3 linked regions of the Caenorhabditis elegans genome follow. The protein of the gene in region 1 interacts with the protein of each later gene in a pairwise test. Each region holds a gene or a part of one and is shown on either strand. Other genes may lie near its edges. The genes, in order: gld-3, pop-1 and gls-1.

Region 1 (10,889 bases):
CAGTCTTTCCCATAGATAATTTGTTATTAATCAAACCTCGGTGCTGCTCAAACAATTTTCAGCCAATTTATCACTTGCCCAAATCAGTATAGTTTTGGGGAAATACTTTTTGACTACTGGATTTTTGACTACATGGCTTTTTGACTACGGGCGTCTTTTTCGCTACTGACTAAAAATACTAAAAATTATAGCAACATTCGCACTTTTGTCTTACCGCATAAAATCCAATGCGCGTGCTCCAACCAACCGCAGTTGGCCCATGATCCAAGGGTACACCGAATTGGGGGTACATTTGTTCTTAGGGTACATTCGACATCATCACAATCATTATTAGGGTACATCCACCGGTTTGTTCAGAGGGTACATCCATAAGATTTTTATAGGGTACATCGGCACTATGTTCCAAGGGTACATCCAATTTTCAAGGGGTACAACGGATTTTTATAACTGAAATTTCTTAGAGTTGTGATTTCTCATTTTTTTCACATAGGATCATAATTTTTTGTTTTTTAACTGCCGTATTGAACCATAGTTTTGTTTCTTGATTTCAATTTCATTTCGCATTAGTATTTTTGATAAATAATTCACAAAATCGAAATCTAGAAACAAAACTATGAATTTATTCGAATTTTTCAATACAGCAGTTAAAAAACGAAAAAATTGTGATCATATGCAAAAAAGATGATGAGTGTTATGTATTCGATGTTATGTATTCGATGTTATGTATTCGACAATGTTATGTATTCGAGGCTGAACCAGGAGGCTAAGACGAGTAGTTTATTATTACATAAATAACAAAGGAATAAATAGAAAGTTAGTATACATAGATCATGAGTTCACGTTGCACGATCTTCATATCCACGTTGAGGGCTAGGTACACGTAGATACCCAACACCTTTGAAAATTGGATGTACCCTTGGAACATAGTGCCGATGTACCCTATGAACAAACCGGTGGATGTAGCCTAAGAATGATTGTGATGATGTCGAATGTACCCTAAGAACAAATGTACCCCCAATTCGGTGTACCCTTGGATCATGGGCCAACTGCGGTTGGTTGGAGCACGCGCATTGGATTTTATGCGGTAAGACAAAAGTGCGAACGTAGCTATAATTTACTCTCTCTCTCTCTCTCTGAAAACGGGGTCGATAAGTGCAAAATCTACGGGATTTAACACCAAAATTTCAGATGCAAATTTTCAGATACTGAGACCGAGATGGCAGAATTAAATGTTGGTTTTCAGTAGACAGTAACATTATCTTCCGATTGGTATGCTTTTTGCTCCATATTTCCACCATATTTTTACGGGGCTCCCAGTTTTTCACTTACATGTGGTGAAGGATCACAGACCAGAAGAAGACGTGTTGTACGTGCTAGAAATGATGACTGGGAGGAAATCGAGTGTGATGATACGGAGACCGAAGTCCGACAGTGTACGGGTCGTCATCAATGTTGATAAACTCTAATTTTAACAATGAAATTTTATGAAAGTGAATATTTGATTCAGATTAATTTGACAACGAAGGAATTTGATTGTTGTGATTACGTAAATGGGTATCAGGGGCGAGATTATTTGTTAAACAGAGATCGAAAATAATAAATGCTTAGGTGAAAAAGTAAAAAAATAGTTCCCTAGTTTTAGTTCGTAAGAGTTGATGGCTCCTCTGAAGTAGATGGCTCGGAGAAGGAGGCTTCAACAAATCCAGTTTGACCATTTTGATCTTCCAGTTGAGCTACTTGCTGATGCCATGCAGCAGATAAATGAGGCTGAACTACTGGCGCATGCTGTGGATGAGCGTCCCGCCAAACTCGATAGCTGAAATAAATTATTAAAATTTGAAATCGTCGTTCTCTCACCCAGGGGTTAATTTCCATTGATAGTAGTATTCGATAAGTTCTCCAACTTTCCGGTAGGGTAGCTAAAATAAAACATTATGAAAACTTTTTGAATTTGCAAAATATACAACTAACCCGTAGTCTCCTTATCAGCGAAAAATCTTTTCCATACAGCTCGAGTGACTCTTCAAATGCCTTTGCTTCACTCTCATCGAATCCCAATGCATCTGAGCGAACAGTGCGGAATGGGGCATTTATATGAGGAAAAGGGAATGATTCTTTCGCCTTTTCTGTGTCAAAGTTGCTTCTATACAAAGCACATAGAGCGTCCTCGTCGTCTCGTGATTCGGTGCCAGCTGGTGGACATGGTTGGTCGTGGGCTTTTCGTAAGCCTACTACATCTTTGAGATAGTTGTCAATAACTTCATCACTTGGCTGATTCGTCTGATCAATTGTCCATAAAATAGTGTCATCTTCTCGAGCAGATTCTGAAGAAATAAATCGATATAGAATCAAAAATCAGATCATTGCTTACCTTCAACCGTTGCTTCATTAAAAAGCGGGACGTCGGCTTGGAAAAGTACTGGATCCACACGAATACTTCTTTTCCATGGGTCTGGCGGTGGTGCATAGTCGTCATCATCGTCGTCGAAGCCACTCATTGAATTACCCATATCGAAAATTGTTGAGTCGTGCGGTTCTGCAGCAGCCGAACTTGATTCCCCTACATTCTGAAAAATATAAACATTTTATAATTTCACTTTATCATTTGTAAATTACTTCTTCGGCGATTTCCGTATCTTCATTGTTTGCAGATGAATTTTCCGCTGGACGATAGCCATACTTACGTTGAAGTTCTTCAATTGACATTTCTCCCTCATCTTCCAAGTCTGAAAAGAAAAATGAGTCAGAAGCAAATTAAAGAAATTCACCTTTCAATTCATCTTCGTAGTCCCCTTCATCTAGAAGCTCCTCCTCTTCAATTGTCGCTGGAAAACCATACGTTGAAGAAATTTGAAAAAATATATATATAAGCATACCTTCATAGTCTTCGCCATTATCATTATCGTCTACATAATCTTCTTCATCAGTGATAGACGAACGAGAACCCTCTTCATCCATATTCAAAGCCTGGAAACTAACAAAAGTTGTATTAAAAACGGAAAAAGCGAAAATAAGTTAAAGCGGTTTGCGCGTCGACTAAGACGTAATTCTCTGTGTGCGGTGTTTGCGGACTTGTTTACAGTAGCTCGCAAAATAAAAAATGATGCAAAGCCAATGGGTGTTTCTAAAAAAGGGGAAGTTAATTTTGAAAAAGTAGAAAGCAACACAGATATAACAAAATAGTATAACAATTTATTAAAATGTAATTCAAATGTTCAGTCTGTTAAATGAAGCCGCCCCTAATATTAGGCAGCTAATCAAATTTAAAAAGTACAGTAACCAAGAAAGTTTTCAGAAAGGCGCATTACCGAAATCGAGCAGGTCTTACAACGTTCTTCAAGGAGATTGTTTGGCGCCCAATTCCTCGAACACACGTTCAGCGTGATTTTCAGTGTGTTTTCTCATTTGTTTTCGTGCAATTTCATCCTTATAATGCTAATATTATCTGTAATTAATCGTTCCACGATGATACTAATACCAGTAACATCGACGGAGGCACTGACGATCATTTATAAAATATTTGAAACTCAAAAAATTTACTGAGCAAACGCTTTAGTGTTAGAAACAAGATTTCAATTTTGCAGATGGGGGAGCAAAGCCATGAAAAAGATCATGATGAAGCGCACTCCTACAATCCATTCGTTCGCTCTGCCGTTGAATACGATGCTGACACACGCCTCCAAATGGCAGAAAATGCGGCATCTGCAAGGTATTAAATATGGTTTACGCTTACAACATTCTAATACTCCGATTTTAGAAAACTATTTGTATCGTCTGCCCTCAAAGATATTATCGTGAATCCTGAAAACTTCTATCATGATTTCCAGCAATCTGCACAGGTAAAGGCAACAACTTGTTATGTTACAGTCAAACAATTCAGATGGCGGAGGATGCTAATCAGAGACGACAGGTGTCATACAACACGAAACGAGAGGCTCATATTCATCAGCTAAAAGCGCAAGGATTGCCTCTGCCGTCAAATATACCAATGGTTTGACTGCTTCACATTCCACTGATTAACTGATTCAACATTTAGATCGAGATTAACCCAACTAGAGTAACCCTCAATATGGAGTTTGAATCCCAATACTATTCACTAATGACCAGGTTAGTTCACCAGTTAAGCGAAAGAAATTGTATTCATTTCAGTGACAACGGGGATCACGAGAATGTCGCGTCAATCATGGCAGAAACTAACACCCTCATTCAACTTCCCGATCGTTCTGTCGGAGGAACTACACCTGATCCATTTGCACAGCAAGTAACCATCACTGGATACTTTGGTGACGTGGATAGAGCACGAATGTTGATGAGAGTACGTTCAACTCTGATTATATGAATAATGTTCGTATTTTACAGAGAAACTGTCATTTTACAGTTTTTATGGCACTGTCAAAAATGAAGATGCCACTTCACGAACTTCAGGCACATGTCAGACAGAACCCCATTCAAAATGTGGAAATGTCTTTCGTCGATGCTCCAGAAAAGGCAAGCCGATTTAGCTAGTAACCAACAGTATTAATTTTCTTCAGAATGGAATCGTCACAACCTATCTTCGTATCACCGCCCGCGAAAAGAATCAGCATGAACTGATCGAAGCTGCAAAACGACTGAATGAAATACTTTTCCGCGAGTCTCCGGCACCGGAGAATGTTAGCAGATAAACTGAATATATATCCTGAACATTTTGTTTTTCAGAATTTCACTCTCCATTTCACATTGTCAACATACTACGTGGATCAAGTTCTTGGAAGTTCATCGACGGCGCAACTCATGGTTTGGCTAAAGGATATTTCTATTACATCAGCATTAAATTTCAGCCTGTAATCGAGAGGGAGACAACGACAATAATTAGTTATCCATGTTACAATAATCGAAACGAAACTCGTGGAAATATTTATGAAATTAAAGTTGTTGGGAACATTGACAATGTTCTTAAAGCCAGGAGATACATAATGGTGAGGAGTATGAATACATAGAAAGATATACACTCGAGAATTTACAGGACCTCCTTCCTATTTCGATGTGTTTCAACATTAAAAATACTGATATGGCAGAACCGAGCAGAGTTTCTGATCGGAACATACACATGATTATTGATGAGAGTGGGATTATTCTTAAAATGACTCCTTCCGTGTATGAGCCCGCGGATCTACTGTCAGGAGAGGTTCCGTTGAACTGTGCCAGTCTTCGTTCGAAGGAGTTTAACATAAAGAAGCTGTACACCGCTTATCAAAAAGTTCTCTCGGTAAGCGCACGTCTCTCTGAAATGAGATTAAGAACAAGTAATTTTCAGAAAAAATTTGATTTCATTGCTCCACAACCAAATGATTATGACAACTCCATCTGGCATCATTCTCTTCCGGCAAACTTTTTGAAAAATTTCAATATGCCGGTTAGTCATGTTTATTTTACATTTTAGTTCAAAACGAGATTTTTTCAGTGTCGGGGTGAACTTTCTGATGGTTCAAACGGTCGTCGTCATAGAAGCTCATCAATAGCTTCTTCTCGTTCCAAACACAGTTACATGAGCAAAGGAAAACAATTTTCTGAGTCGTCTGGGGGTCCATCAAGGTCTCACACAAGAGTATCTTCGTTTTCCGAAAATTCATGTGAGCAATTTGCCTTTTATGATTGTAAATAGTACACACAAATTATACTATAAAATTATTTAAGAAAAGCATATCAAATTTATTTAAATAACAATGATAATAATATTACTACAGAGTGCTTTAAAATCAGGAAATTTTGCAGCAACCGTCCCTATTATGCAATTTCCAACGCCACATTTTGCACCACCAATGTTAACTCCTCATCATCACATGCTGAAATACGTCTATTTGCAGCAACATCAGCAAGCTCAGACATTTTTGAAAGGTTGCTATTATATATTTTGTTTCGACAATCATACAAGCTTTCAGGTGCAGCTGGATTACATCCTGGCACACATATCATGTTCCCTCCACCGATCATCGTCGATGGATCCTTTGGTGCGCGTTATTCTTCAAATATTTATCCATTTTCTTACATAGTTCCACAGAACTTTAACTTTTTGAACGGAAATTTCGGTCACCTTTAGAAGATCTCTCGTCATGTTATATATTCATCGTGTAAAATGAGCTCTTCATGAAAAATTTGCCAAATTCTGGATAGTTTTAAGCCACAAAATTTTCTCTTGTTCCTCCTACCGCCACTATGTAATATTTGTCTTTTCACCCGGTTGTGATGATCTTATTACGTAAATTCAACCACAATAAAGCGTTTAGCTTCCATCAATATTCTATGTCTTCGTAAAAATTATCATTATTGAAATTTTGTGTTTCAGTGTCTGCTCTGCCATTTGCGGATCCTGTAGTATTTGATGGTTTTCCTTATGTCCACGGATTGTTTCCGGTAAATGAAGGTTGGTTTATTCGTTCAAAGCATCATTGCAACAATCACTTTCAGCCGAACAACACAGAAATCACCGTGAATCATCACCATCTCTACGATCAACACAAGAAATCAGAAAACCGTCTAGAAACATGGGAAATCGACCATCATCGAGCACAGGTTCTTATTATCCATCGACAACACCTCGTCAACGTGTTTACGAACAAGTTCGAGAAGATGATCTTCGTTCACATATTGGTTCAAGAAGAACATCAGTGAATGGAGACGATCAGAATGTTGAAAGCATGCACGACCGTAAGACTATGACAATAATAAAATTGATAAAATCATAATTATTACAGAAGGATATGAAAGACAGTACCCACGACAGCATCAAAGACTTCAGAAGGATGATCAACAACGCTGGAAGACAGGAAGTCGTGGAGATATTCACTCAAGTAGAACAATTAATGTGCACAGAGACGTTCGCAATTCCAATGAATACGACTTTCATGTGGGAAATTCTGGGCCAGCTAAGAGGTCCCCGTCTTTGGAACAAGTACAATTGCAAATGACACACCACTTGAAGTTGAAATCGAATGATGTTGATTTGGATCATGAAAAGCTTTATATGCATGAGTCACCGCACAATGATTCTGATACTACAGTTTCTGCAAGTGGCTTCGGAAATGATTTAATGGATGGAGACTTTGTTCAGAGATTCCTATCCAATGCAAATATCAATGAATCGGGAAGAAGACCAAGAACAGTTAGCTGTTTTACCGAGAAGTACGTTTTTAAAGTTGAAATTAAAAGAGTTTATAGCTTTTCGTTTACATCATAAATGAGCATTTTTAATTTGCAAAAAATACATATTTAAGCATTCATATAATCAAAACATTTTACAGAGATGGTCAATCCGCCCGATACATCGATTCTGATGGTGCATACAGCGTTGTTGATCATGCATCCACACATCAATCTCGTTCATATGATAGCTTCAGAAAAGTTGGCGACAACGGAGTCACAAAAACCATATTGGAACCACGTGCTCGAGTAGAGAAAGATTATGGCAAAATAAGCCTAGAACACAAGACGAAATACTCAAATGAGTACGGTGATGAAGAGAAGTCAGCAGAAAATGATACGTCTTCGTTGGGATCTAGACAATACAGAATTGATCCAATGAAGTTAATAGCTAGTGTTCGTGAATCGAGTGAGCAACTACCACGTATTCATGAAAGGCAGTTTAGCGATGTTCTGAATGAAAAAGAAAAAGAGGCAAGTAGTCTATTGGCTTGCCATAATTATCTGTAAAGCTTCAGATCGCCGACAAAAGTATTGAATCTACAGTAACCCAAGATCTTTCGTTAGGTTTGTAAATCCACAATTGGCTAATTAACATACATATATTTCAGACGAAACATCTACATATTGAGAAATCGGGATTTTTCCAATAGCTTCTTCTACTTCTTACATCAATTTTCGCTATATATGAACCCTATTTGTGCATATCGTATACGGCTCCATCAATTTTTATCTTACAAACCATCCATTTGCCTGTCGAGAATATCTTTGTATCCACGGGACTTATACGACTAGGCCGATGGTTGGTGCTTAGCCTTCACAGTTCTACACTTATTTTAACCGAAATTATTTTCCAATTCTTCCCGTATTATTTCATTGTTGTCACCTCTTCGTTCGTCATTTTTCTATCTTTTCATTCCTTTTGCAGACGTTGGAAGCATAGGTAACATGAAAAATTAAATGAATTCACAATGAAATTCAGAATTTTCGTGCATCTATACTTCCAATTGCAATTTATGGCACTGTCGATGTTCCCTTCCCTATATTTAATGTTCTTCCTTTTTTCTCCCATAATTCCCAGTTGTTTTTGATCGCAATATTGTCCCGGGTCCCATCATATCTAGGTTTGTTTCAATGTATTCCATCTTTCCTTTCTTTTTTCATCACTTCATATACACTACCACTTTTATTGTCTTTTCTTTTTTTTTCGTCATTCAACTAGGATTTCATTAGCAGTTTATCCCAATTTCCTCTACAGTTCTGTTTATAAATGAAAGAATTGCGGAAATATTGTTGTTAATCACATCTTATCGTCCGACAACTTTCGATTCAGCAAGGACATGTTCATTGATAATGTTCTAAATTTCTAATATGGAAAGTCTCTTGGTCGTTCAAATCCTCGCCATAGTCTTCATACAAGTGGAAGATTTTGATTTTAGAAAGACTAAAATTAATTCGTCTCACTTGAATGTAGCGATAAAAGGATAGAAGAAACAAAAAAATTTTTCCTGAATTTCCCTGAATCGATACACTTTCTCCATATAATCGTAAAGCGAGGTCTCTCTTTTTTCTTGAAACGGACTGTCCATTGGAGGCACTTATTTCTTGAAATGAGCCAATCTTCGACCGCCTGACTCTACTCACTCCATAATTTCATCTGCATCATCTTCTTTTCCCAAACCAAAAAATGTGTATTCTTATTCAAAACGACGCTTGTTTTTTTTAATACGGAAAGAAGATTTGATGACAGACTTCCTTGGATTTTTCGTTAATATGTATATGTGTAAATTTTTTTCAAATTAAAGATAGTAGTGCATTGGGAATATTGTTAAAAAATCACTCATATAGTACTAAAATGACGATGACTCGGTTTTCCACACTCATCATAATTTTGGAAGTCGACAATTTTTTTTCATTATTAAAATGTTTCTAATAATAATTATTTTATTATTGTAGGAGCTGAAACATGTGATTTTTTAACCGAATTTTTCCTGAATTTTTCGCGAAATTTGGCAATTGACCAAAACATTGACTGAAAATTTCAAAAATTGTGCTTTTTTGAAATTCTTTTTTGAATTGTGCAAAAAGTGCTTTTTTGAGTGAATTTAGATTATTATGAGTTAATTCAAAATAAATCCACGTTAAAGCTACTCCATCTGGAAAGCTTAAAAAATCGTTCTTTTTTGAATAAAGATAAAGAAATAGAAGAATCGATTATCTGATTACCTCTCTTCAAAAGATTTTGAGAAGACACTCAAAGTAAACCTGTCTGCCTTATTCAATTGCATTCACTTAATGTTCATGAACATATTCTCGTATTGAACATTCTTTTTTTGGCTTATTCATATAAGTTATTTCATTTGCACTTTTCAATTTTTATATATTTTTGAATCTACGCGAAACATTCTATGATTCAAAAGTTTGATCTCTCTTAAAATCTGAATCATATTAGCGTCGTTGACCAACTAAATATCGCTCATTTACGTACGCTCTGTGAACTTTTTTGGGAAGCACCAATGATATTTTAAGAAGCTTTTTGATGAAATTATTGATCTCTTATAACTGAATTTAATTTTCTTTTGTTGAAAATGAATAAGATTTGAAAAAATTGGCAGCATGTTTTATTACGTTCTATTTTAAACAAACTTGTCAGATCAAGTATAAACATCAAATTAGGCAGAAAAAACATGAAAAACTTTAATCTAGGCAGCAAAATGATTACCTTCTTTCAAACAAACCTAATGCTCCAAAACAGGGTTTATTTAAAAAAACAGGCTGTGTAGGCAGTAGGTAGGTGTTTAGGCAGACAATCTGTGTTAAACAATTTTTTAGTAACTCTATGTTTTCTTATAAACTATCTTTTTGGTTTCGTTGTTGCAAAACCGCGTTCAGTGCTATCCATTTCTTTGCATAAAAATAATAATTAACGATAAGAATTAATAAATCATAAAACATAAAAATGTTTGACAAACAATAAACAATAACCTTTGACAGAAGAAACTACGCCATATTTCGCTTTTTGATGCCCCTTTTGTCTCGTTTCTTATCAACAATAGTTGTGTAAACGGAGACTGATAGTAAGGACGTTTACATTAAATTGTAGATCCTTTTTCTTTCTGCGTCTTCTTTTTCATTTTTCTTCAATTTTTAAAAATACATTTATTCATTGTACATTTCAATAATATCCATCACTTCTCTCACTTTATCGCTTCTTTCTAATCCCAAATGGCTGACATTTAGATCGGATTTTTATTCTGATAAGAGAGTACTAAAATGTGTAGATTCGCAGATATAACAGGAGATGCACGGGGAATTGAATGATATCCTTGGAGGGAGCTGATAATCTCGTGTGTTTTGAAGGAAGCAAGATTCTTTCCCCAGTTTTGCTTATAAGTTTCCATAATTTTTGCACTGAATAATTCCACGTCAACAAACGGAAATTTGGGTTTAGCAGACAATTTGTAGTTCTTTATGTTGTTTACGTGGCATTTTAATAATGAGGTCATCATATGTTGACTTTCTTTCAAAATGTGATGTTCACGCGTAATAACTTTTTGGTGGCGTAGTTCTACCACATTGTGGTTCCTATTTCTCAAATCAGAATGGTACAATAATACTAAATTTTCAGTTGAAACCATTCAAATGTAGTATATATACTATGATCCGGACTCAACATTTCTATTTCAAATCTTTTTCCTCTCTTCTCTGGC
Region 2 (8,524 bases), on another chromosome or scaffold:
TTTCCACGCTAATCCCTCGTGAAACAGCAGTAGCAGCATCGCGGATGGTTGCATGTCAATTGATGATCAATCGATGTTTTCTACACTCCGAGTGCTAAAGGAGAGACCCCAATATTCTTACATAAATTATTGACAGGGAGGGGGACTCCGCTCCATCTTCGGGGAGGGGCCCCACCAAGATGGAAAGTGCGGATAGCTGGCTGTCGCCACGCAATTTTCAAATTAGGCAGGCAAGAAAAATGGATGAATTTTCGAGATGCGTATCTCTCCGCGCGACGATTGCGGTCTGATTAGGTTTTATTCAAATTTCTCGCTTAATGACCTTCTTTTTCCAGCTCATCGCCAGAGCCACCACCTCCCCCTATTTACTAAAAACCTGTCACCTTTCCTATGGGTGAGAACGGAAATAGCCCTTCTTTGTTGCAGCGTTTCTAGATTATTACTACTAGACATTTCCAGACACTCATTGTCTGTTACGCCTGGTGGCTCAACAACATCTGCCTCTCGATTTTCTCTAATTTTCGTGAGAATTTTTTTTTACTTTTTCAATTCTTTCTGTAGTTACTGTAGTTTTTGTGCGACTTTTCTTTACACAAATTACCAACAAAATAGTCTAAAAATTGTATTTTTACACTTTTCCATAAGAAGAGTTGGCCATGAAAAATTTTCATTGATTTTTTCTAGTTGTTTTTCCTCTGTTAAAAATTATTTACGGTAACATAAAATTCGGAGAATGCGTATTGCGCAACATATTTGACGCGCAAAATATCTCGTAGCGAAAACTACAGTAATTCTTTAAATGACTACTGTAGGTCGATTAACGGAAATTATTTATCATTCGGCAATGACAAAAAACTAAATAAAGTAAATGGGAAAAAAATCGAGATCGCGTAAATCGACCTACAATAGTCATTCAAAGAATTACTGTAGTTTTCGCTACAAGATATTTTGCGCGTTAAATATGTTGCGAAATACGCGTTATTAGACTTTCGTGATCCCGTAATAAAAAAATTGAATTTGCTTCGCAGTGTTCCCGAAATACAGCCAAATTTATTTTTTTCAAGCTTTTTCGTTGCATTTTCTCCAATTTTAGTCTCCGTTTTCCCAACATCCTCGTTTTTACACTTGTCCAGGTAATTTTCTCTAATTTCTGGGAAAATTCCGCAGAAAAAACGGAAATCTAGAAAAATTCGAGATTTCCCAGCAGTTTATTTTGATTTTCTTCAATTTTTCACTCAATTTCACAAAGAACTATTCGAAATCGAAAAAAAAATCGATTTTATTCAGAAATTTATTAAAAAATTTTAAAAAAATACCGTACCCTTCAAGCAACGTGTACTCCTCTCGGAAAATTCGAATTAATTATTAATTTTTATTGATTTTCAACCAATTTCGCTACCAAAAAGGGTGTGTTCCCTCTAATTTAGGATAGTCTTTGCCATTTGTCTCCTTCCGTTTTCTCTTTTATCTGACTGGGGTCACATTCACAGTGAAAGGAGAATTAGAAAAAAGAAAAAAAGATGAAAACACGCTGTGTCTCTATCTCTCCGCCAATTCTCACGGTTTTCCCGGTGAGTTACAACGAAGAAAATGAACACTTCGATAAAAAATATATATTGACGCCCCGGGTTACCGATTACCGATGCCCACAAAAATCACTTCTTATCAATTTTTAAATGGTTTTTTTCAGGACAATCTGATTTTTATTTTTTCTCACTCAACCTCCACTCTCTTCAAGTTCCATGCTCTCTTTTAACCTCTTCTACAGCTATTATTGTCGGCCACCTGCGCACACACACAGGGCCTTCTCACACACCATTTAGCATGGGCGGCCCCTTGATGAGCGATGAAAGCGAGAGACGCAGAGAAATTGGTGTAGCGGGGGGCCATGGTGCACTACCGACAGCGCGCGCATACACCACCACCAACCGCCTCTTGTCTTCTTCCCCCCTTCTTCTCACGTCCCCCGGTCCGTCATTTATTTGAATTTTATGGATCCTTTTCGCCTCGTTTTCCTCGTTCCACTATCCTCCCTCCTACCTCCTGCTGGGTTCTACGTTTATTTGCATTTTATAATTGGAGGAACTTCTTCATTCGAACATTTTTCGCTTTTTTTTCCCGTCATTCTTTTTGAATTTTGTAGAGCGAGTAGCGGCCTAGTTTTCGGCTAGGCCATCTGTTGCCAATGACAGATGTGTTTTGTTCACCGTATCGATTCCTGCTCTTTAATTTAAAATTCCCGCGTTTCGGATTTATAAGCAAAAAAGTAATTTTCTACGTCAAAAATAGGTAATTTTAAGGTATTTAAAGTCTGATCGTGGTGTCACCCATGCCAAAAAACATGGCATGCGCCTTTAAAGACTACGGTATATTTACAAAAATGTCGAAAAATGCGAATTTTAAACAAATTTAAAGATTTTTGATGATTTTCTCCTTTTTGTTCGGAATTCCCTTGTTTAAAATTTATGATTTTATTTTTAAAAACTCAAATTACAAATTAATAAGCCGAAAAATATTGTTATTCGCGGTGGTACCCACATTGAAATACATGGCACGCGCCTTTAAAGGTTACGGTAGACAAAAATACTTGAAAATTTAATTTTGAACAAATTTCGAAGTTTTCGATCAATTTCTAGATATTTCACATCGAAATTTCCTCGTTTCAAATTATTTTTTCAACGAAACAGCTCAAATTCGACATTTTTAAGCAAAGAAAAGTAATTTTGTTCGAAATTCGTGTCGAGACCCACACCAAAATAAGCGGCATGCGCCTTTAAAAGTTACGGTGGACAAAAGTATTTTTTAAATTAAAATTAAAACAAATTTCACCGTTTTTGCTGATTTTTCTTGAGTTTTTCATCTAAAATTTCGATTTTGTCGTCAAAATTTATCTCTAATTCAATAAAAATTCAACATTTTCCAATTTTAGAAGTCTAAACCTCCACTTTCTCCCCAAAATCCTATCGAATTCAAATTTCCCGCGTCTTTCCCCTCTCCATGGCCTAACTTCCGCGGACCTAGTCCCCCTTTTTTCTTGTTTTAAATGGTTCCGTGCTTCTTTTCCCTCCATTTTTCCGTCAATTTCCCATTAAAATCGTTAAAAAATGCTCTAAATTTCCAGATATAAAAATACACAAAAATGATGGCCGACGAAGAGCTCGGCGATGAGGTGAAGGTGTTCCGTCGGGATGAGGATGCTGACGATGATCCAATGATTAGTGGTGAAACGTCAGAACAACAGTTAGCCGATGATAAAAAAGAAGCTGTAATGGAAGCAGAATTAGACGGTGCCGGTCGAAATCCATCGATTGATGGTGAGTTTTCCAATAAATTTGATCGAAAGGGGAAGGTGGCCAGCTATCACACAAAATTTTATGGACCACCTCAATTGCCTTTCGACTTTATTACACAAAAAAAATATTTGAAAATTCTTCTAAATTTCTAAATTTCTGCAGGAAAAAGGGACATTAAATATTAAAAAAATACATATAAATTTAAATTTAAATAATTTAAATAAAAACTTTAAATGCTAAGACTGATCCCAAAAAAAGAGAAAAAAATCATTAAATTTGAAAAAAAAACCTTATTTAAATTCCCGCATTTTTTGTCTAAACTCCGCCCATAGAACCGTGCCGCACTTTGTTTTTTTTTCAAATTCAGCGTAAATCCATATTTTGGGGGTTTTTTTTCAGTTTTTAAATGGAGAAAAAGGTTTTAAAAATCGCCGAAAAATTCATTAAAAGCTAGAAAAACAACCCAAAAATTGGACTTTACGTTGAAATTAAAAAGTGCAAAAGTGCGGCACGGTTTTATGGGCGGAGTTCAAAATCGAGACAAAAGCGCGGGAATTTAAATTAATTAAAAATCGCTAAAATATTTTTTTTTGACAAATTTGAGTATTTTCAGTGTTATTTTGAATTTCAACCAATTTTAAAGCGATTTTTCGCCATTTTTTATATTTTAAAGTATTTCTAACACTTTATAAATGAAATTTACTCATTTTTAACCAATTTTTTTTCCGGTTTTCACTATTTTCTATTAAAAAAATCCATGCTAATTTCAAAACACCCCTAAGAATTGACCTGATGGTCCCGGGCCTTACGCAATGACATAATGACGTAAAAGGATGTTACGCAACGGTGTTCGAACACCATCTGCGTCTCTCCGAATCCCATACTATCTCGGTCCGTTATCTTGTGTGCTAATCCGTCGTGAGTACTTGAACAAGTTGGTCCGTCTGTGTGTGCTCAATAGACTGTATAGGGGTGCGAAAGGATTAAGAATTGGATAATATTCAAAATTGATCTGAGAAATTTGAACTTGGCGCCAAAAATTGACCTTTTTTGAGATCTGTGAATGGAAAAATCTAAAAAATTATGTATTTCAGGCCTTTAGAGGTGCTAGAAATTCCTTTTAAAATTTTACGAAAAATCGCTTTAAAATCGAATTTTCAATTGAAAAATCTAAAAAATGAGAGGTTTTGAACTCGGATATCACTATAAAAGTTGAATTTTAAAATATTTTTAACTGAAAATTGTGAAAATTTGCGAAAAATCGCTTTCAAAAATCGAAATTTTGAAGGAAAAATGAGATAATTAACCCTATAAAATTGAGTTTTGAAGAATTTTAACTAAAAATTGTGAAAATTACCGAAAAATCTCTTTAAAATCGGAGTTTTCATGAAAAAATCTGGAAAAATGAAATCTTTAACCCTATAAAATTGGATTTTAAAGAATTTTGACTAAAAATTGTGAAATTTGCCAAAAAATCGGTTGAAAATCAAAAATTTGGCTCTTTTTTAACCATTCTAACCGAATAATTATCAAATTTTCAGTGTTAAAAAGTGCATTTCCAAAAGTCGAACCAATGTCACCATCGTTTCCCGGTTTAATGTCACACTTCAGTCCTGGATACTCGGCAGCTGCTTTACCCATGTTTATGCCTCTATTTATGGTGATTTTTTACTTGGAAAATTGAAAAAATTTGAATTAAAACACATAAAAATTGGCGAAAATCGACAAAAATCGACTTAAAATTGTATTTTAGAGTTAACAAGTTAAATACTTCTGAACGAAAAATTACCGAAATTGGCAAAAAATCGGCTTTAATTGGAAGTTTTCACTGAAAAATCTGAAAACAAAGGTGAATATTAGGCCTCGAATATGTTATAAATACCTTATAAAGTTGAAATTTCAAGATTTCCCCCAAAAATCGACGAAAAATCGCTTTAAAATCCTTTTTATGACAATTCCCCCTATTTTATTAGAAAAATTATGTAGTCTAGGCATTAGAAATACTTTTAAAAGTTGCAATTTCAATATTTTGCCCAGAAATTGCCTAAGAAATGGGAAAAATTATGTATTTTGAATTTTTAAAGGGTTCGAGAGCCTCTATATTTTTGGAATTTAAGAATTTACACCAAAAATTATTTAAAAAAAGCGAAAAAACACCCTAAAATCGAAAGCTTTATTGAAAAATATGGAAAATTGTGTATTTTTGAGCTTATTCTTCAATTTGAATCAAAAATCGTCGAAATTTGCAAAAAATTGCTTTAAAATCCTATTAAAAATCATTTTTCCAACAATTTCTTCCCCAAAAAAGCAGAAATTCCAAAAAAAAAAAATTCAAATTTTTACCCAATTTCAAGAATTTTTAGGGCTTTTCTCCATTTTTGTAGAAAAAAAACCGTATTAATTTTTTATTCTTCCTACAATTTTCTTCCCCAAAAAGCAGAAATAATACAAAATTTCCACTAAAAAACTGAATTTATTGTCTTCCAAATCCAAAAATTCTTGGCTTTCCGCCATGGGGTTCTGGCCTTCCTCATTGAATTTTTCGCGCTCCATTGACAATCGCCCGCCGGACTGGGATAGTCGTGTACTCCACACGGACAAGTGCATTTAGTTTTACAACTAAAATCGAGCCGCGACGCGACACGCAACGCGCCGTAAATCTACTGAGCCAAAATGACCTAGTTCGGCAAAAACTCTTCCATTTCATTTTATGAGGGAAGCCAAAAATTCGTGAGAAATTCTACAAAATTTTCACCGAAAAACTGAATCTATTATCTTCTGAATCCAAAAACTCGTTGCATTTCCTCGAAAACAGTTTTTTCTTCTTTTTTGTTGGAGAAGCCTCATTAACTCCCAAAAAATTGCGTGTTTTTTGGCAATTTGTTTTTCTCGAAAAACTATTGGCGAAAAAACACCAAAAATTTCTTTTGAATTGTTGAACATCATGTCAAGAGCCGAAATTATTTCCTTTTGCGTCACTTTGGGGGGTCTCGATGGTGGTGGTAATTATGGTTGCTGGTACCCGAGACACGGATACAATAGACAATTAGACACCTCTGGGCCCCCCCCCCCCCCACACACACATGTTTGGACACCTTTTTTCTACAGACAAAAAGACGCGGAAAACAATAGGTTCAAAAGGTGTGTGTGTGTTCGTATTCATTCATTACAAAATGATGATGACCCCACACCAGAACAAGTGTGAGAGAGCTCTAATTGCTTCCGGAACATGATTGGTGCCACTTCCTGTAGAGAATTGACACTTGTTTTTTGAATTTGTTGAGAGCTAGCGGGGATCTGAATGATTACCGTACCTACCTACTAGGCCTATCTTCTCGGGGTACTGTACACAGACACGTGGTGTCAAAGTGTCTCATTTCGACTTGATCTACGTAGATCTACAAAATAGGCGGGAGAAGAGACGCAGAGCTCTCAACTGATTTCGCATGGTTAAGAACCTGTTGACGTCACATATTTTTGGGTGAAAAATTCCCGCATTTTTTGTAGATCAAACCGTGAAGGGGCAGCCTGACACCACATGCACAGGTTGAGCCAAGGTTTTCTGAAAAATTAGGAACGATTTTCCATTCGGTTTTTGTAGCAAAAACTAAAGGAACTACAGTACTTCTTAAAGGCGCGCAAGTTTGTTTGAATTTAACTTCGCTTCGAGATCGGGTACTGTAGTTTTGGCGCGAAAATTGCCATATTTTATCCCCTCTACATTTTTTTCAACTCCTTCTCGTTAGGGGTACTGTAGACAAGTGACTAAATACACCAATCTACTCAAACATTTGAGTTTTCACTGACGAATTCGAACTCTTTAGTAGATTTCGTGGAAACTGAATGACTACCGTACCTTTCAGAGCTGTGCGGCAAATCTTGAAAACTACAGTACTCCTTAAGGGCACACGGTCTTTTGAGATTCAAAAAGTCGGTCGCTTTGAGACCAATTACCGTTTTACTTTTAGGTATTTTCGAATAATTCGAGTTTTTGAAACTTTCAATTGAATGTAAAGTTGCTCTCAGAGAGTACAAATATTTATATATAAATAAATTTGAAAAAAAACTTTGAGGCAACAATCGGAAAATCTGATCCGTATCTATTCCATTTCGACTTAAGCCCCTCCACATCTCAAGTGACTGTTTTGTGCTCTGTGAGCAACTAGTGATAACACAGATACTCTAATGAGCTGCGAACGAGACTTGCAAAACAAATATTGTTAACGAGCGGCCGCCGATTGGAGGATATTGAGCAGAGCAGTACAACAGTTTCCGAGAAGAAACTTCTCGGGGGTACTGTAGGACAGGTGGGGCCAGCCGCTCAGGGAGTTAGAGAGAGTGCTACAAAAATTTTTTTGGGTTAAAAATTAGTGGGAAATTTGCTTTTTTGCACTTTTTTTAGAAATGTTTTCTGGAAAATTTGATTTTAAAAAAAGAAAAAAATGTTTTCGATTTTTTTTTTGAAAAATGGGAAAACCGACACCCGTATGAAGGGTGTCGTTAAAACGAACATTTTAGAATTTTTAAAAATAGCTTTTTTTAAATTTAAAATCGATCTACTTTTGTTTAAATTGATGAGAAAAAATATTTAAATTGATAAACTAATTTTTGAGAAATCGAAAAAAAATGTTCGAAATATCGGAAAATTGAAAAACAAAAAATTTTCGATTTTTAGTTTTTTGAAAAAATTGAAATCGATTTTTTTTTCAGAATCCATACGCAGCAGCACTACGATCACCAAGCCTGATGTTTCCAATGGGAGCAATGAGCCCCACATTTCCAATGTTCCCGCCAAGTCCTGTCTATGGAGCAGCAATCGCTGCGGCAGCCGCCAAACAACACTTTGAGAATATGGCTCCACTGAACATGCGAGCCGGTCATCCAATGAATCAGATGGGAATGCCACCATACATGCATCCATCATCAATGGCTCCACAGAATGTCGATCGAAGGGCTCAAGGAGGTGGAAAAGCGAAGAAGGATGATCATGTGAAGAAGCCATTAAACGCGTTCATGTGGTTTATGAAGGAAAATCGAAAAGCACTGCTGGAAGAGATTGGAAATAATGAGAAACAGAGTGCAGAGTTGAATAAAGAGCTTGGAAAGAGGTGGCATGATTTGTCGAAGGAAGAACAGGCGAAATATTTTGAAATGGCAAAGAAGGATAAGGAAACACACAAGGAACGGTATCCGGAGTGGTCGGCGCGGGAAAATTATGCGGTTAATAAGAA
Region 3 (11,175 bases), on another chromosome or scaffold:
TTTCTGTGCATTCTTCATCATCTTTTATTCAATTACAACATGCATTTTTATATGTTGTTGCTGTTGTATATTTACTGGAGCATATCGTTCTGTTCCCACAAATGAAGAAGTTCAAATGGGGGCCCAGTACACCGGTCGGAATACTAAAGAATGAGTCATTTGATAATTTTTCACCTCACCAATAAAAATAAATAAGTTTTATTCTAATTCACAGATCATTTTCGGGAGAAGAGAACAACTTGAAAAAAGGAATATAATATGAAACCAACAATTGAAGTAGAACATTTACTAAAACAAATCAATAATCAGATTGAGCCCATAATTTAAATGTACGATCAAATGCCGATGAGCACATCCATTGTCCATCTGGACTGATGTCTACGCACAGGATTCTAGTATCGTGACCCTGAAAACATTTTTTTTAACTCAAAAAGTTAAGCTCAATTGATATACCTGAAGTTGTCTTAGTGGTTGCCATCCAGTGGTCGACCACATTTTAAGAGTACAATCGAAGCTGGCAGAAACAAGATATTGGCCAGCAGCATCAGCACGCACCCGGGTAACAACTGATGTATGAGCTGGCATAGTGTATGTATTTCGTCTCATCCGAAGATCCCAAACTTTCATTGAATTGTCCGAGCTTCCAGTAATCATTTCATAACTGAAAATACGTTGATAACATCAATATTTCAAGTAAATGGTTTTAAAACAAAAAGTTATAATGTCCCAGTGAACTAACCCATTTGGCATCCATTCAACACTGTGAATTTCTTTTGTGTGACCATCAAGGAACATAATACATCTTCCAGTTCGCATATCCCAAACTCTTCCATAACAATCGTGTCCGCCAGTTAGAGCGACTGATCCATCTGGATGGAATGCCACATCAGCTACTGATTTTGAGTGTCCTTCTTGATAAAGTAACTCTTTTTTCGTTGTCAAGTCGTACATTCTCCACGTGGAATCGAAGCTGAAAATGATTATCTTGTAGAGACTGAAATTCAAAGGTTTTCTGAATACTGCATCAGAAATAATCGAATATTTTTGGCAACTGTAAAACCTGTTTATTTCAATACGATAATCTAATTTTTTAGACGAAAAAGCGCTGAAAACTCAGCGCCGAATTCGGCAACAATGAAAGTTTGAAGCTACAGTACTCTTTAAAAAAGCGAACACGCTTTTATTTAACGACAAATTGTCGAGTCGAGACCGATTACCGTATTTTCGGCTCTAAAATCGTCGTGTTATTACCATTAAAAAACTTACCATGCAGTAGCGAGATGATGACCATTTGGATGGAACGCAACTTTAGATACTCTTTGTGGATGTTGTTCTAGTTCTCCGATTGGTGATTCCTGGCTTAGCGACCATAGAAGAACGGTTCCTGAAATCACGAATTTTGAGAAAATTGAGCAAAAATCAGTTATATTTACCATCATACGAACACGAAACCACATTCAAAGAAGAATAATCATTCTGAGTAAATGCACCGGGATGAAAACGTGCACACCCTGCTTGAGATGAATGTCCAATAAATTTAATTTCTTGAGCACATTGTTCTCGCTTCCAAACTGCCACTGATCCGGACCAGCCAGCGGTAACTGAAGTTTTTGATTAGTTGGAAAGTTCTACTTAGAAAAAACAAACCAATATGTTCAGAATCTGCTGAAAATTCACAAAAAGCCACAGGGCGTGTGTCTGCAACTTGAGAAGCATGAAGATTGATTTGTTGAACCCATTTGTGAGCTTCTTGACGAGCCAAAGCTTTTTCGTGAGCAGGGCGAGCAGCTTCTTCTCGAGCTTTGTCAAGTCTTAATTTAGCTTTTCTTAGAGAAAAATCAGCGATTGAAACGCGTGCCATCCGAAGTTCAATCGGACCACGATGATACCAAGTAACGGTTTCTTCGTCTGCTTTATCAGCATTCACCTTCAAATTTTTAAATAATTTTTCAAACATTGAAAAACTTACTTCATCAGTATGCAAAACGGCTGCAATTTCATCTTCAGACATTGTTGAAAGTAGAGCTCTAAGTCTTTCTCTTCTATCCAATGCATCTTCTCCGAACAAACAAATTGGTTGGTTTAGAGCACGAAGTTTCAGTTTTACCTTTAAAATATATCTTCAAGTGGGTAGTTATTAAAAAAATTTTATTCATATGTATCAAAACTGTACCTGAACATCATCTGTTGGCAATGTGAGAGTTCTTGCTCTCCGTCTTCTATCAAATTCTGCAAACATTTCAGCATCGTGGCGTGAATCTGCTTGATTTGATACTTCCATTCGTTCCAAAGACACTGTGGGTCCATGGTTTTGCTGTTGTGCATTCTGAAATTTTAAATTAAAATTCAGAAAAAATAACATAGTCAAAGAATTCATGAAAAAAAACATACCAAGATTGCATTCACGCTTTCTGCATTCGCCAGTGATCCAAACTGTCTTGGCGGTGCTGGAACAGCAAAATTGCCATTTTCAGCCATTTTGTGTGCTCTTAAAAAATTTAATTACTTTAAAAACCACTGTAAAGAATATGAAGTTATATATTAGGACATTCAGAACGAAGATGTGAGACATAGGAATGGGCTTGTAGTTTTATTATAATTTATTATATTTAGTTGTGAAGTTTAAAACATTTTAAAGTGAACAAAGGAAAGAAAATGGCATAAAAGTTCAAAAAAAGCGGTGAAAATTCTTCGAAAGTGGGAACCAGTAATCGCGCTCTAATGATAATTTGAAGAAATCTGAGGTTCTCTCACTTCTTCTCGATTCATTTTCACCCTCATTTTTTTTTGATTATCTATTTTTATTGATTTTCCCACGATTCATTATCTTTATCTTCGAAATCTGTATTGTTTGAAGATTTCAGTCGATACGAAGTCGAATGGAAGCGTATTTCAAATGTGCTTCGTTTTGCTGTGCAAAGTTCTCATTACCCGTTTTTAAAATTTTCTCTGGTATCTCAATCGAGTTATTTTCTATTTCTAGGCATTAAAAATGAGAAAAATGAACTTAATAGTGGCTATGGATGCCGAAGGAGGAATTGGCAAAAATGGCGTGTTGCCATGGCGAATCAAGAAAGACATGCAGTATTTCGCGTCTGTTACCAAAAATGTTTCTGATCAGTCGAAGGTTGTTCGAGATTTCTAACTAAACTTGTAACATAACTTTTGTAGAGAAATGCAGTTCTCATGGGACGAAAATGCTGGGAAAGCATTCCAGTAACTCGCCGCCCGTTGGCAGGACGGCTAAACATTGTTTTGAGCCGACAACTTCCTGCGCAAAAGTCCGATGACTACATTGTTGTGTAAGCTGTCATGAAATAATATTTAACCTGTTGTTGTTACATTCAGAAACTCGCTCGAAGCGGCTATGAAACTACTTTCGGAGCCACCATTTGTGGATTCGATCGAAACAATCTGGAATATCGGTGGAGCTGAAATCTATGATCTTGCGTTGCGAGAAAACTTGGTTGATGAAATTCACTTGACACGTATTTTCAAAAAGTAGGGTGCTTGCACAGTTTTTTTACTCTGTCGTAATTTCAGCTTCGAAGCCGATGTTCATCTCAAGTCACTCGATTTCAGTAAAATGGAGAAAGTTCAAAATGCCGAGGTGTCATCGGAAAATTCAGAAATTTTCGAAGAAAATGGATTAAAGTTCGAATTTTGCAAATGGAAGGTTGTCGAGAACCACTGAATTTTTTTTTGAAATTGCTGTTTATTTTTTTAATTTATATGTATTCATTCACCTGTTGTTTACTCGGGCAGCCCACAATTTTCACGTGTAAATATAAAATCTGTACATGATTCTTATTACTATTAACTTTTTGTAATTCATCGTAAGTATGCGATGTTTGATATCTTATTTATTTCATTCCTTCCTTATTTTTTTAAAATTTATCCGTTCAGACGTCACAGCTTTAACTCTTCAAGAAAAGCGTAAGAAGTCTCGGTTAACTGGTATTTTGATGAAAAGTATGGCCAATAAAAAGGTGTGTTGATAAAGATAGTGAAATTCGACATATTTTTCCCTAGTTTCAGAACCATCAGCAAAAGAAAAGTACAGACGGGTCAACGATGAACGGGAATAACGCAACAGCAACTGCCGCTGCAACAACTCAGAATTCATCACAAATTGGACAAAATTCCAATTCCAGTCATAGCGTCACCAACGATAACACTTCCAGCAATAGTACGTATACACGTTTCTCACAAATCTGTTTTGAAATAACAAGGACGGCTGTTCCTAAATAGGTTTTAGAATTTTCTTGCAGCAATTGCAAATTAATTCAAAATTTTGTGTCTTAATTTCCAATGGTTCATTTAAATCGAGATTTTGGAGACCTTGGTCTTCACAATCTGTGCTTAAAAAATGACCCCGAAGAAAAGAAAGAAAGTGAATAGACGAGTACAGAACCGAGGAGGGCAAACATATATAATAAAAATAAAAAAGAGAAAGAGGCCACCAACACAGGCACGATGCCCCTTTTCCATCTCTTCCTCTTCTCTTTTCAATAAGCATCAAGGTGCGAAAGTCGATTTATTTATTATAACCCAAACTATTACATTTGATTTCCCTATTGATGTGATGAGTGATAAGCAATGACTTTTCTAGCATCTAAATTTTAACAATTAGATTGGAACGTCTATATTAATCATTTCATATTTATTGATTTAATTTTAGAATTTGATTTATATATATATATATATATATATATATTCAATGTCCTATTATTTCTATGTATTCTCTTCTGATTTTGGAATACTTCAACAAAATTCTCAAGAAAACGTTAAAATGAAACATAAAGGGTCTCTAAAATGCGGTAAGCAACAATGTAAATTTAAAGAAAATTCAACTCTCAAGATTCATAGAATTTATTTATATTCATTTCAGACGCTTCGACGTCTACATCGTCCATCACCTCAACTACCACTACGACCACTACAGTACCTTCTTCACAGCAGAGTCAATCTCAAAATCAATATTCACATCAAAGACTTTCATCGACTTCTTCAACGTCACAGCAAACTGGAATTTCTAAATTTCCTGCCAAAAAGGCTGGGCACAACGAGCTTGAGAAGGTAAGTAGGCGAAGATAAATTCGACTGAGTCTATCGTGCATAATTATTTCATATTTTAAAACACATGTTTTCTCAACCTGTTTATGATTCACTTGCAGACAAGCAACACTGCTAATTCACAATCGGGTGCTTTCAAAGGAACCACAAATAAAGATCGGCCGAAGGAAAAGGAGAAGTAATTAAATCAGTAACTAGTTAAAACAAATCCTTAGCTTTTGCTCGTTCAGAAACACTCACAGTGGTAATAGGCAAAGTCAGGTTAACCATAATCATCATCATTCAAACCATGTTAGCGGAAATCAGCAGAACCGAAAGAATAAGGTTTGTATAAACGTATAATTACGATAAAAATTAATTTTAATGTTAAGAATCGTGATCATTCGAACCAAAGTTATCGAGGTGGCTACACACATAACCACAATAATTATCACTCGTTGGAAAATGCTAAATCTTCTGGATTTCTGTCAAATTCTTCCCTATCCTCTGCGGGACAAATATCAGCGTCTTCTGCTCCTCCAGTGAGCACAACTCCGACTGCTATTCCCATCTTTCAAGAATCCAAAATAGTTCAAACAGATCCACCAGTCGAAGAAGCAAAAAAGAAGAAGGAAAAACCAAAAATCAAGCGTGATGAAGAGCCGATGCCATATAAGAGCACTGATCCGAAAAATATGGATTCTGTGATGGCATTCAAAGAGGTGATTCATAAATACAAGACATTTTAGTATTTATCATTTTTATTCAAACAAAATTTTTAAAAAGTTATTAGTTTTCAAAACGTAGTTTGGATTGCAGCACGATGAATGGGATAAGGTGGAGTTTATGTGTGAACTTGTTTCTTTCCTGTCTCCAACCGATCTTCGCCTGCTTGGAAATTGTATCGAAGGATCTGTTCGTTGCTATAACAATCAAATGCGGCCAGTAGAAAAGACTTCAAACTGTTCGGATCCAACAGCTGGTTTACCTCAATTCGTTTGCTCTCCTCCACCTCCACCGCAACAAGTTTATTATTTTCCTGGTATTGCGGATGCTGCCCTGTATCAAACAAGAAATGCAGTTAACTCGGTTTTTGTACAGCAACATCCACCTGGTCTTCCACCGTTATTAGGCGGAATGTATGCATTATTGTCGGTGAATTATAATTTAAAAATTTTTTATTTCAGGCAGAATATTATGTATCCACCTGATGCTAACTTTCATCATTCAACCTCTTGTACGACACCTTCATCATCAGTTTCCGTTGCAAATAAGGATGTTAACAATGTACCAGTTGTGCTATCAAGTAGTGTGAACGGAATAAGCAATAATATTCCATCAGATAGACAACAGCTAGATTCCAAACCAAATACTGCAAGAGGTAAAAAATCTTCATCATTATTTGACACAGTTAAAAAATGTATTTTACAACACAATTTCCCTCTCAAATTCGCAACATTTTTCAGGTTCGAGCGGCAATATCAACCAATCTAATACAACATCACCAGAACCGGAGCCCGGTTCTAATCACATCTCCACCACAGCAGCAAACCCTGCACATCCAACTTCAGTGACTGTACCACAGTCGGTACCACCGGTCCCTCAAGAACCAGAATTGTTTCTCAAATCTGTTCTCGATCTTACCAGTTACATATACACTCTCATGGCAGTTTGTTCATCAACAAATAGAAAATCAGCTGCTAAGGTGAATCAGAATACGACTTTAGATGGTATTTAATCGATTTATTTAAAGATCTCTGACTATGTTCAAAATGTTATTCTGAGAGAAAAGAGCCAAATACTCGAACGTATTCCGGATGAACTTGATAAAATTACCGTTTTACAAGAAATCGGTAAAATTGGTAAGTCTTCATTTCCGTGTTTTGGAGTATACTTTTTTGTTTCAGTCGCAGCCATGACTCATCACCCAGCAATTACTCTTGATGACAAAATGAAATATGCGGCTCTGCGGGACGGATTACGTGCTCAAATAGAAACATTGTTTAGACAATACTACACAACTCAGAAACAGTTGGAGCAAAGCAATCTTGTTGTACCATCATCACAAGCTGTTGGCGATGAGAATGATACTGATTCCGACCATGAATCAGAGGAAGAATTTGAGCCACTATCAGGTGTTATGGGTAAGCAATTAATTAATATTTAACAGAATTTTTCACATGCATTTCTAGAAATTTTTCGATAATTAGTCGATGAATTGAGTTCGGAACATTCCAACTAAATCACTGATAACATTCCGCATCTTTTTTTCAGGTTCGCGTTTCGAGAGTAATCCAGTTCAGCCGTCGCCATCAGTTCCGGGAACATTCTTTATCATTCGATTTATTGGACGACAAATTGAGAAGAACGATAATCTTTTCAGCCTGGAGGTAACACGCAACCTGAAGTTTCTGAAATCATAAAGGTTTTCAGATTCATTGGAGTGATGGTGACAGAACATTTGCTCAAAGATCTCGTGATCAATTGAAAGCTCTACAGCATCGTCTTCTTGATGAGTTCGGACAACAGAGAAGTGAAAAATATCTTCATCAAGGATGCACTACATCCTACTCTTCATTTGACGATGATAACAAAAAGCTTTCAGCGAGCACATCTACAATGGAGAGTATGTATTTTCAATTTATAGTCTCTAATTTACAATTTTTATTTTTGCAGCGTTTGCTCCAAACGGAGAGCGTATTGTTCCACGTCTTGCTCGTGATGCGACTCCAGCTCAATATGTTCAATACATCAATGAACTTTCTGACTTGCCAGCTAGAATGATGCTGTCAGCTGTAATATGTGAAGAGTTCAACGGTACCAGAGCGAAAACAGAAGATGTTAGTTTCTGATACTGTTCATTTCTAGATTGATTGAAAAGAACGAATCTATTCCGAAATAAAGCTATTGCAGGAAACTCGCGAAGCATCGGATGGATTAATATATTCTCGATGGAAGAATCCACGTGCCAAATCTCCAGTTCGTTACTTCAAACGAAATGCAACAGGAAGCATTGACCCGATTGAATTGCCTGTCAATATGCAACCATTCCTTTATTCAAATATCCCGCAAACACAAGTGCAGGTTTGATTTCGAATTTTCGTAAAATCTGAGAAATTTTCAATTTCTAGACGCTGTTCCCAAGTTGCTCTAATTGTGGCGGTCCTCACGCTCCGAAACACTGTGAAAAACAAACATTGTTATCGAAGAAAGGCATGTACAAGTTGAATTAGATGGCAATAATGAGAATAATCAATTATTAAGGTGATCATAGAACTCGTTCAGACGGGGAAGGTTCTCAGCAAAATGGTGGAACTTCCTCTTCCAATTCATACGCTCCAATTCATGCAAACCTCCCCCATGCAGTATACATTGAAAATCCGCAAGCAATGTTAGGATCAAATCACTTCAATCATCATCAACAACAGCACATAATTCAGAATACTATATTCCATAATGGTATGTATTAAACTTTTAAAAATTAGAATAATTGATTCAACATGACACAATAATTTCTCAGGTGGACAATTTCGTGCAAACGGAACATATGAACCGCAAATTCCGATAGCATACTATCATGCCCAGGGAACTGTACAAAACTCAAATAATACTGGTGGAGTCAACGGAAACAGTGGGGGCGGGAACCAGAATTCGAATTTCTGAGAGATGCTGAATTGCTGCTCCTTTTTATATCAATTCTTGTGATTTCGTAATAGTTTTCTTCTTTTTTTGTTCTTTCTTTCACCCAATTTTTTTTTCATTGTTTATGTTTAACGCTCACACATTTTAATTTTCATCGACACGTGTATTATTGAATTTCTCTGATCCATCACATCCCGATTGCCATCATCATCCTTAAAGCGACATTTTCTCGTTAGGTACGTACACGTGGTACAACTTCGTTTAAACTATAACAAATTATCACTGAAGTCTCGAAAAACGTTCTCTTTCTCTTCATAATTCACAAGCCAAGACCACCTGATTAGTTTTATTCAATTTTTTCTGTTTTCTATATTTCAAAATGCTGGTCATTTCTCTCTTTCGTTTAGGTATTCACTTTTTTAATTTATACATATTTTTGTTTATATATACATATATCTTTTTGACCACCCCGTCTTCCACCTTCAAGAATAATATCGTTGATTTCTTGTTTTTTTTGTAACCCTATCTCTCTCTCCCTCTCTCTTCCCTCTAAATTTTCTTTCATTTTCCCAATTATTTTAATTGTTTCTTAGGTGCGAAATGAACGGTGGAACTAAAAAAATATTTACAAAACTTTATGCTGATAGAGGAGAAAAACACAACATTTGGGATACAAAAAATTCGAGAATCGCTTCGTGAAATGATGACTCACACTAACATAAAATTTTACACATTTTTAAAAATGAAATACAAATGAAATAATTGAACAGTTTTTAAAGTATGCGACAACTAAGAAAATGCATTTGGAATTAATTATAATCGGGATTTTACAAATTGAAACCACGGAATGAATTATTAAAATCACCACTTTCGAAGATTATTTAGAAATGGAGTAAGTTGTTTCAGAAAAAAAAATGAATGGACCTTGTTACGTCATGTTCCCGATGGACACTTTTCTAGAATCGATTGAAAACTGAAAATGGCAGGAAATGACAATTTTGGATGAGGGTTCGGGAAGTAAAGGTAAAAAAAGAAAAATCAGATGATCCTGAGGATGAAAAGGCTTGATGAACAATTGGAAAATAGGCAAATTTCAGAAAGTTACAGACAAATTTGAATATATTGCAAAGCTTGGAAGACACTGTGTGAAAGAATTGATGATTTTTGGATGATTTGACATTATATAAATATTATTGAATTTAATAAAAAATTAGTTTAAAGGCACATTTGTATATCGTGTCAATGCACCATTAAATTTAGATTTTAATCAAGAAACAATAATATTTTTAATATGTACATATCTGATCAATATGATTTGAGGAAAATTAAAATGTTGAGCAAGAACACGAAACATGATAAAAATGTTGAAAACTCAAATTACTCGAAGAGATTGAGAATTAAAGTGAAAAATCGATATTTTTGGACGAATTCGATCCGTAGTGTTTTTGTTGAAGTTGGCGATATTGATATATGCATCCGCGAAATCTATTTTTGCCCATTTGGCTTGGTTCGGCTGAAATTTTTTTTTGGAATTGCCAAACTAGTTATGTTCAAATTATAATGCCCAATTTATTTTCAATAAAATTTAAATAGATTACCTAATTGCGTCAACTTTAAAATTTTTAGTCAAAAAGACTGTACCTACTCTCGCGACGAACAAAATTCATTTTCAAAAAGGCGTGCGTCTTTCATACCTACAGTAATCCAGCCATCGTTTTTGGTAATGTTCTTCGAATTTTCAACGTTTTATTGCTGTATTATTTTCTTTTTTTTAAGTTTCAATTTAGTTTTCCAGCAAAATAATGTATCCAGAAAAAATTGTGAAAAATCAAAAATTATTCGAATGTTCAATAAAAGTTCAAAAATATTTTCTCCGAACTGTTTTTGAATTAGTGATTATTTTCTGAGCTACAAAATCATTTTTAAAAAACAAACTTTGCCATGGCCGCAATATGACGTTTTCCTTGAGAATGAACTGCTTTGGATCCCATTGGAACTTCACATCGGCATACATTACAAAAGAGCATTTCTTGTCGAGTTGAGCCATTTGTTCGTGGAACAAACATTTCTTTTTCCTCTTCTTGAGCTCTATGTTGTGGACAAATGACGTCATCAAGCTTCTCTCTTACTCCCATTGAATTCGCCAAATTTACAATTAATCGAATCGTCAAGTTTGATTCTTCTCCATTTGTTGGTTGCTCTGGTCGATTGCCACGTAGTGCTTCTTTTGCTCTTTTTCTGATAACTGACAGATGAGCATTATAATCATCGGCTGGAACTGGACGTTGACGACGACGACGTCTTTCGGTTAGACGTGGAGATTCAACGATTGTAGGTGCAAATTTAATACTGTGATGACGAAGAACTCGAAGAAGTCGGTCACAATCAACATTATTTGCTTGAGAATAACGACGGAGATCAGCAAGTTGAGAATCAGACATCGTATCAGTAATTGTTATTGGGCTATTTGGAGGTAAA

Evidence for each region.
Region 2: the proteins of gld-3 (region 1) and pop-1 interact in a two-hybrid assay, tested with the Caenorhabditis elegans proteins (one study listed by BioGRID).
Region 3: the proteins of gld-3 (region 1) and gls-1 interact in binary tests that used the Caenorhabditis elegans proteins (3 or more experiments, as listed by UniProt).

What each region holds. Positions count from the first base shown.
Region 1 is NC_003280.10:7,129,059-7,139,947, forward strand, and holds gld-3 (Defective in germ line development protein 3), read left to right. Parts: upstream 1-3,584; coding exon 3,585-3,709; intron 3,710-3,757; coding exon 3,758-3,839; intron 3,840-3,880; coding exon 3,881-3,991; intron 3,992-4,036; coding exon 4,037-4,107; intron 4,108-4,149; coding exon 4,150-4,315; intron 4,316-4,359; coding exon 4,360-4,488; intron 4,489-4,532; coding exon 4,533-4,652; intron 4,653-4,698; coding exon 4,699-4,776; intron 4,777-4,820; coding exon 4,821-4,958; intron 4,959-5,005; coding exon 5,006-5,248; intron 5,249-5,296; coding exon 5,297-5,395; intron 5,396-5,443; coding exon 5,444-5,612; intron 5,613-5,754; coding exon 5,755-5,877; intron 5,878-5,921; coding exon 5,922-5,990; coding exon of another isoform or gene 5,991-6,079; exon of another isoform or gene 6,080-6,269; intron 6,270-6,325; coding exon 6,326-6,403; intron 6,404-6,447; coding exon 6,448-6,687; intron 6,688-6,734; coding exon 6,735-7,161; intron 7,162-7,280; coding exon 7,281-7,653; intron 7,654-7,697; coding exon 7,698-7,746; and 4 more. Other genes in the region: T07F8.4 (ELM2 domain-containing protein), read right to left, coding at 1,639-1,816, 1,858-1,919, 1,972-2,324, 2,372-2,567, 2,617-2,726, 2,769-2,825, 2,877-2,958. UniProt on the Caenorhabditis elegans protein: Required maternally for germline survival and embryogenesis. Forms a complex with gls-1 which promotes the oogenic cell fate by freeing the translational repressor fbf to repress sperm promoting factors.
Region 2 is NC_003279.8:2,824,909-2,833,432, reverse strand, and holds the start of pop-1 (Protein pop-1), read left to right. Parts: upstream 1-3,121; 5' UTR 3,122-3,139; coding exon 3,140-3,314; intron 3,315-4,834; coding exon 4,835-4,953; intron 4,954-6,359; exon of another isoform or gene 6,360-6,550; intron 6,551-8,003; coding exon 8,004-8,524. UniProt on the Caenorhabditis elegans protein: Transcription factor. Part of the Wnt signaling asymmetry pathway. Binds to the consensus sequence, 5'-(C/T)TTTG(A/T)(A/T)(G/C)-3'.
Region 3 is NC_003279.8:8,733,230-8,744,404, forward strand, and holds gls-1 (Germline survival defective-1), read left to right. Parts: upstream 1-3,842; coding exon 3,843-3,989; intron 3,990-4,038; coding exon 4,039-4,189; intron 4,190-4,891; coding exon 4,892-5,079; intron 5,080-5,177; coding exon 5,178-5,254; intron 5,255-5,306; coding exon 5,307-5,400; intron 5,401-5,447; coding exon 5,448-5,777; intron 5,778-5,874; coding exon 5,875-6,194; intron 6,195-6,242; coding exon 6,243-6,436; intron 6,437-6,521; coding exon 6,522-6,760; intron 6,761-6,808; coding exon 6,809-6,917; intron 6,918-6,962; coding exon 6,963-7,199; intron 7,200-7,329; coding exon 7,330-7,445; intron 7,446-7,488; coding exon 7,489-7,681; intron 7,682-7,731; coding exon 7,732-7,895; intron 7,896-7,959; coding exon 7,960-8,139; intron 8,140-8,186; coding exon 8,187-8,268; intron 8,269-8,319; coding exon 8,320-8,514; intron 8,515-8,575; coding exon 8,576-8,718; 3' UTR 8,719-9,319; downstream 9,320-11,175. Other genes in the region: C36B1.6 (putative tumor suppressor protein), read left to right, coding at 1-154; prp-4 (Pre-mRNA processing factor 4 (PRP4)-like domain-containing protein), read right to left, coding at 299-406, 454-661, 740-970, 1,267-1,384, 1,434-1,601, 1,648-1,927, 1,970-2,107, 2,174-2,326 and 1 more; dhfr-1 (Putative dihydrofolate reductase), read left to right, coding at 2,993-3,127, 3,172-3,302, 3,349-3,501, 3,544-3,694; C36B1.9 (RING-type domain-containing protein), read right to left, coding at 10,620-11,175. UniProt on the Caenorhabditis elegans protein: Required maternally for germline survival by forming a maternal complex with gld-3. During hermaphrodite development forms a complex with gld-3 which promotes the sperm/oocyte switch freeing the translational repressor fbf to turn off sperm promoting factors.